Linked DNA regions of Daphnia pulex. The protein of the gene in region 2 binds, or shares a complex with, the protein of the main gene of each other region. Links are inferred from orthologs where the notes say so. Each region holds a gene or a part of one and is shown on either strand. Other genes may lie near its edges. The genes, in order: actin-related protein 2/3 complex subunit 4 and probable actin-related protein 2/3 complex subunit 2.

Region 1 (3,478 bases), on a different chromosome or scaffold from region 2:
ATTTGTATCATTTTTGAAGTCCACGTAATTGGAGAGTCATCTTTTTGTTTACAGTTAACCGATTCACAATGGAAAAAACAGATTATTGAATCCATGAATGGGCCATTTACGGACCTCGTGTTAACGGTTAGAGGTCATAAGCTTCCAGTCCACAAATCAGTTTTGGCCGCTCGCTGCCCTGCTTTGACGGCAAAAATAAAAGATGCTGCAGTTGAACAACTTATTTTGGATGAAGATCCTGTTACTTTCCGAAGATTTCTTCATTTTCTCTACACTGGTCTACTAGATGACTGTGATTATTATCTCATAGATATGAAAACGTATGCAAAGAAATACTTCGTAGATGAAATGCTTCCTAAATTTACCGCAAATGGAACAATGGAAAAAATGGTCACGAAGTATTCTTATATTTAATTCATTTAAATTTCATAAACCATAAATTGATATATTTTTAGATGTGAAGCTGACGTGAACTCACAATTAACGAAAGGAGGTGTCGTAATGCAATATTCATGGACGTTGAAAAAGTTGCCAACTTTGAATCGCACAACTTTCTCTAATAAATCAAAGGACGGTATGTGGTTCGGCGTTGGTATTCAGTGTGTACGTATCATCCCATATACAAATTGTAGCGAGTTCGACCTATACTTTTTTACTGGTCGAAACAGTCGAGTGGTTGGTGTCTCATACTTCAACAGATGGGATCCCTGTTCACAGAAGAAACACAACATGGATCTTAATAAAAATCTGGTCTTCACAAGCAATTTCTCCGTTGCAAATGGATACAAATGTTACCAGTTCACGTTCTGTGTGACGATCGAACAAGCGGATAATGAGGAATATCGATACGAATTGCAGGACAGTCTTTGCCCAACTCAGCTTTGGCGTTCCGCTTTGGATGGCATGACCACCGATGTTCAGTTGCTCGTCTCTGGGCGTATCTTTCATGCCCATCGATGGATTTTGGCCGCCCGGAGCCCAGTTTTTGCCGCAATGTTTTCCCACGACATGCTCGAGGCGAATACTGGGTGTGTTGACATCAGCGACATTACACCAAGCATATTCGAACAAATTTTGTTCTTTATTTATAATGGCCGCATACTCGACTCTACCCCTAATTTACTTCTATTGGAGGCAGCTGATAAATACCAAATAGAAACGTTGGTTTTCATTTGTCGGGCTTCTTCATCTCCAATGGAAAAGGACAGTTGATATGGTGATATGTGCTGCATCAACAAATCAGTGCAACAAATTAGTGCAATCGTCAACAAATTAGTGCAATCGTTACTTTGATTCTATGTTTGTTAACCTATTATTTCTCAAAATAAAACAAATATACCGGCATCGACTGCACGTAGCGGATATCTATCTGCATATATCATTTCTAACGCTCCCTTAAAAAAACACACAAAACAAAAGTTTAGTTATAGACTTATCTTCAATTCTACCTATACAAGTAATATATAACAAACTAACAACAAGTCTTAGATCAAAGATATTTACGAAACCCCTAAGGACTAAAACTTGTTTATATTCGGCTTGATTTGTGATCTGTGATCTCACGGTAAATTTCTTGAATAAAGGAAATTGATTGATTGATTTTTTTGCTTTATTTAATACGGGCCCTCTACTGGCAGCAGATTGAACTGTTTCCATTCTTCGTCGGTTCCCATGTTATCTTAAAAAATTGCGGTTTTTGACAGATCCGGCCCACCCCACTGAAAAAAGCCAAAGAAAGCACTAAATTGAGTAGGGCCTAAATAGTGTCCGTGGAACATATTCTTGAACTATCTTAAGATTCTACGCTTTTCAGCTGTGCAAATTGCAAAAAATGGTTAGTTTGCTCTTAAACTTCTGTGTTGTGATTCAAACCCAGCTAATCCAAAAAGAACTTTGAAAATATTATGTTTTGAACTCATCAGACAAAAACACATTTCAAACACTTTACCACACCCTCTTCCTTTTATCATTCCTATCGTCTTATGTGTACACGTATAATTAATATTTTGTCATTTTTAGTCAGCAACTTTGAGGCCTTACTTGTCCGCAGTTAGAAGTACACTGGAAGCTGCAATGTGTTTGGAAAACTTTTCTTCCCAAGTTGTTGAAAGACACAATAAACCTGAAGTGGAAGTCAGGTAAGGTTAAATGAGTGAAAAAATTGAGTAAACATTAATAAATACTATTTTGAAACATAGAACAAGCAAGGAATTATTACTGAATCCAGTTGTTATTTCAAGAAATGAGAAAGAAAAAGTCTTGATAGAAGCCTCTATTAATTCTGTTCGGATTAGCATTTCTATCAAACAGGCTGATGAAATTGAAAAAATTCTTTGCCACAAATTTATGAGGTTCATGATGATGCGAGCAGAAAATTTTGTTGTTTTGAGACGAAAGCCTGTTGAGGTAAACTCTTTTTAACATATTCTAAAATATGTTGTTAAACTCTTTTTAAAATATTCTAAAATATGTTGTTAAGGTAAACTCTTTTTAAAATATTCTAAAATATGTTGTTATACATTGATAATTTCTCTAGGGTTATGACATAAGTTTCTTGATAACTAATTTTCATACTGAAGCCATGTACAAACATAAATTAGTGGATTTTGTCATCCACTTCATGGAAGAGATAGACAAAGAAATTAGCGAAATGAAATTGGCCGTCAACGCACGAGCCCGTGTGTGCGCTGAGGAGTTTTTAAAGCGGGTGTGTTTTACTGTCAATTTTTTCATCAGTTATTACCGACTAACATTTCCCATTTTTTAATAGTTTTAATTCGAGAATTTATTGGATAACTGGAAGAAAATTGAGACCAGATAATTCCCAAGTTTATTTGCATAAAAACCTGTTTCCAAGCCAAGCTAATTCAGTAAAATGATCCGACTTGTGTACAATCAGATAACTCCTAGTTTGAGTTCATGCACAAGCTCAAAAAATAATAAATGAAAATATTACAGAAAACTATATTGTATTTAGTCAAACTGGAGTGTGCATATTTCTTGATAATATCTACTTGGAACAATATCAGTGCTCCGCAATTAGATAGAAGGAGCTAACCAGTTCAAAAACTTCAAAGCCATTTCAAATCCTAAGAAGCAAACGGCATTTGCAGGGAAGGCTCTTTAAAGAAAAATGGACGTTAAAAAATGTTATCAAAAATTCTTATTTAATTAAATATGTCCCTATTACCTAAGAAACACTGGAACTGCTCCTCTATAGAGAGCTCGAACACCTTCTTCGCGCATCAACACTTTAAAGACGTCACGCACTCCATTAGGATACGTTCCTTCGGGAGCTTCAAGTGGGAAAATAATCGAAGATATAAAGTTATCATATTACCTTTCACTTAACTCATTTATTTAATAGCCTAATATCTGATTCTATTAAAAAATATTACCTGTTTGTAGTCTACTCTTCAGTACATCCGGTGGGATGGCAATAATCCAGTTGGCGATTCCTGCCATTCCACCGGCAAAC
Region 2 (3,893 bases):
GAAAACTAACACCATAGCTTCACAGTTTCCCCTAAATAAGCTGTCAGATCAGTTGAGAGACCAGCTTGCTCAAGCCGGTTTCACAGAGGCTCTCACATTTTCGTTGTGCTCGAAGGAAGACATAAGCGAAAAGCTGAGGAAACCTCTGAACTCCGTTCCTGCAGTTCATGTTTCCAATCCGAAAACTTTGGAGTTCCAAGTAGCACGCACGACCTTACTTTCAGGTTTGCTCAAAACTATCGCTGCCAATAGGAAAATGCCTTTGCCCATGAAGGTAAAACCTATTTATTTAATAAGATAAGTTATAAAAGTTGTAAAACATATGGTTTCTGTTCTTCAAGCTATTTGAAGTATCCGATGTGGTAGTGAAAGACAGTCAGCGAGATGTTGGAGCTCGTAATTGCCGCAATCTGTGCGCCGTTTATTACAATAAGTCGCCTGGATTTGAATTAGTTCATGGTTTACTAGATCGCTTAATGCAATTGTTGGAAGTTCCACTGGATCAGAGTGGCAGCAAGGGATACTTCCTGAAACCATGCGAAGGTTCATTTCATATACTGCATCAATATTTTGATTACCTTCTTCTAAAGCTATAAAATTTACAGATGCAACTTTTTTCCCCGGACGATGCGCCCAAATCATTTTTGCTGGCACTGTTGTCGGAATCGTCGGAGTCTTACATCCTGATGTTGTGACATCCTTTGATTTAAATCTTCCATGTTCAGCTTTGGAGTTGAATATTGAACCGTTTTTGTAAGCAGTTACAAGAAATAAATGTGGTCTGTCATTAATGAGAAGCTAGTGTATTATTGAAAAATGTGAAACTAAGCGTTACAATTTAATCAATGAAGAAATCCTAATTAGGTAAACAGGGAAAATGTGCATTTAAACATCATGGAGTACGAATGAAAGTACGGCCGGTGATCGTTTTCTTTTCCACCGTTTTTGGTTCAGGTCGAGCTCGGTTTAATACTTTCAAAAAATCAGAAGTTTTGGCTCTCATGCGTGAATGAATGTAGGCTTTGCTACATTTGATGTGGTAGTGCAAATAGTCACGGAAGAGATGAATCAAATTAATGGTATTTTCGCGGACGTTTTTGTTCGTATGCCGTGGAAACAAGACTAAAAAGAATTATGACATAAATTTTACAGAAATCCATGTGTAAAAATAGAAATGATTTCATACCAAATGTAATGTATCCAATATTGTCACCAATTTTAGCATTTGTACTTTGAAGTTCCAGAGGAGGTTCTCGGTGAGAAAAAAGAACTTGTGGGGCAGTGTGAGAAGCTCGGCGACCTTCGCGAAGTTCTTGTAAGAAAACTTTACCTAACACAATATCATCCTCATCACGGAATACAGTGCTGAACACTACTGTTACTCTGTCTGCCTTAGCTTCTATGTACAATGTCTCTTCATCACGATAATTGATAACTGCTCTCTTGTGCCCTTCTTCACCTTATTAGAAAAGAAAAATTATAGAATTTCAGAGTATTGCTTTTGCTCATTATTTTTTTACCCTTTTCCTGAAATTCAAAATACTTCTCAAAAACAGATGCAAAGCAATTTCTTTTCAGCAGTCCAATTTTTTTTACTATTTCTTCCCAATTGCCAGGTATGTTATCCAAATCCAAAACAAGGGAAATATTGTACCCTTCAAAAAAAAAAAAGGATAAATAAACAAAGAAGATAAATAAAACCTTTTCACCAATAGGATATTACACATACCATCTTCAGCTTGACATAGTAGGTTCCCATATTCTCTTTTTAGTAACTCATCAGCACCATGTTCCTGAAGGTCTTTATAGAATTTCAGTGAAATGCTAACCTATAAAAATAACAATTAATTAATCCTGCAACATTTCATTTATAAGGTTTTCTTTCTAATAACTTACTCGAACTTTGGATTTATCAGAATCAGGGTTGGCAATATGAAAAAGAACCCCATCGAAATCAGCAATGACTACATTTACGGAATCCGGTTTATTTCTATACAAATTAGGAATAATATGTTTCGTAGCAATTCAAAAACAAATGTATATAAATTATTTACCCGGCAAGCGAATTTTTTATTTTAACTGTAAGGGTATCTTCAACAATTTTGTTATTTATTTCCAGAAGAATCATCGCGACGAAATGTGAATGTGATGACTTGTATCACAAAATTAAACAAATTTCAACATAGTCAGCACACAAGGAAATGTTAATGTTATCTGTCACAACTCACAAGACAACCACAAAAGAAAAGGGAGTGGACTTGCCGTTTGCCAGATTTCAACAAAGCAGGTGCGGTACGCAAGCACCAGCATGGTGTCATAGACAAAGACCATGGTTGTTGATATAATGGTTCCCACTGTCTGTGTTATAAGGTCCCATAAGGCAGCTGATTTTTTTGTGATCTTTGGTTACTGCGACAGCCCCGCGACCTGGTGTTGGAAGGGTGGAAGCTTACACTGAAACAACACAGAAATTTTCTAAGTCCCTCGTAAACAAATCAGAGCTATGCGTACTTTGCGCATCCGTTAAACAGATTGATTGACGATTTTCTAATTAAGATTAATTTCAGATGATAACAATAGATTTCATTGGTTCAATTTATAACTTGTAATGTGTATTAACGGCAGTCAGTGGAGCTTAATAACTTCCTTATGCTTTCAAGACTCGGAAGTGGTAAAATTCCATTTGCTTTCAAATGTCTATATGTCTTGCTGCTTTTAAGTCGAATTTGAAGACAATGCATCAAAAATAAAGGGTCGTAACGCATTCCTTTCTTACAGTTATCTTTTCCCGGTTTTGCTTTAGCTTTGTCCATCATAGTTTTCACGATTAACTGTTCCTGATAGAGATTTGAAAAATCTATTAATAAACTGATATATGATATGGTCTTTAGTAAGTATGGAATGTCATTGTCAATCGTCTGGAATATTATTTTTGAATAGTCTTGCGAATAAGTTGGATTTCACAAATGTGAGGGTTGGAATAAGGAATGATATCTCTATCGAAATAATTGGAAAACATTGGTCAAATAGGGAAGCATACATATAGTCTAGTCATGAGGTAATTAAATTAGTATTTCATTGTTACCGTAGGACTCAGGCACTTTAGTTTTTCGTCAAAGTTATTCTTTTTCTGTTCCTTAATCAATTTTTGGTTTGTAATAGTCAAAGTCTGCTTTTCTTTTTCTAAATTTGACACAATTCCAGAGACCAACTAAAATTACAAATAGAAAATATATTAATAGTAATCGTATGTTAATTTATGAATAACAAAAAAATAATTACTTTTCCTTGTTGGAGAATTCTTCTCATTGCTAAATTTCTCTTTTGCTGTTGGTTTTTCTTTTGAATTCCTGTCCTCTCAGCCTTACAACCTAATTGTTTCTTGCGAGTCATCAGATATTTCTTAAGGAATTTGCAATTCAAACAAACATTGTTTTCAGTAAGTCCTGTGCACCGGTTAGATCGTATGATTTTTCCGTCTTTCACAGCGCTACATCGGGACGTCACACAAACATTCGCTAGTGATAGTTCAACAATTCCATCACACACATTGCTTACTTCCACGGCACCAATAATGTTAGATAAATCTTCAATTACATTGAAATTAGTCTTAACATTACGGGGAAATATTTGTTTTCCATTGAGGAACAATTCCACCTTATTCATGGAGACAACTGAGATTGTTTTTATTACAATTTTGCGATCTGGAGAAAATGAATGACTGAAACACACGAGGGTTTTGTTAACCTTATCTTCTTGCCACATCCACGAAGAGGAAGGTAGTTTGACTCTCGCAATAACATCAGTGTATGTAGCTGGGTCAAGGTATCCTTCCATTTCTGTCTCCCGTGCTGTTTGTTCTGAATTTTCTTGTAACATTTCTTCTGTCATTT

What was found.
Region 1: probable actin-related protein 2/3 complex subunit 2 (region 2) and actin-related protein 2/3 complex subunit 4 share a complex: the UniProt entries of both Caenorhabditis elegans proteins name them as parts of the arp2/3 complex. The link is inferred for Daphnia pulex from reciprocal best matches to the Caenorhabditis elegans genes arx-4 and arx-6.

What each region holds. Positions count from the first base shown.
Region 1 is NC_060028.1:5,631,515-5,634,992, forward strand, and holds actin-related protein 2/3 complex subunit 4, read left to right. Parts: upstream 1-1,659; 5' UTR 1,660-1,831; coding exon 1,832-1,834; intron 1,835-2,019; coding exon 2,020-2,138; intron 2,139-2,198; coding exon 2,199-2,406; intron 2,407-2,536; coding exon 2,537-2,707; intron 2,708-2,770; coding exon 2,771-2,776; 3' UTR 2,777-2,962; downstream 2,963-3,478. Other genes in the region: uncharacterized protein LOC124209792, read left to right, coding at 1-398, 456-1,212; mitochondrial carnitine/acylcarnitine carrier protein-like, read right to left, coding at 3,040-3,121, 3,191-3,296, 3,399-3,478. UniProt on the Caenorhabditis elegans protein: Functions as actin-binding component of the Arp2/3 complex which is involved in regulation of actin polymerization and together with an activating nucleation-promoting factor (NPF) mediates the formation of branched actin networks.
Region 2 is NC_060024.1:1,047,951-1,051,843, forward strand, and holds probable actin-related protein 2/3 complex subunit 2, read right to left. Parts: upstream 2,276-3,893; 5' UTR 2,129-2,275; coding exon 2,055-2,128; intron 1,991-2,054; coding exon 1,897-1,990; intron 1,830-1,896; coding exon 1,730-1,829; intron 1,656-1,729; coding exon 1,521-1,655; intron 1,460-1,520; coding exon 1,187-1,459; intron 1,123-1,186; coding exon 893-1,122; 3' UTR 758-892; downstream 1-757. Other genes in the region: phenylalanine--tRNA ligase beta subunit-like, read left to right, coding at 1-274, 342-543, 606-757; uncharacterized protein LOC124201224, read right to left, coding at 2,616-2,837, 3,086-3,211, 3,283-3,893. UniProt on the Caenorhabditis elegans protein: Functions as actin-binding component of the Arp2/3 complex which is involved in regulation of actin polymerization and together with an activating nucleation-promoting factor (NPF) mediates the formation of branched actin networks.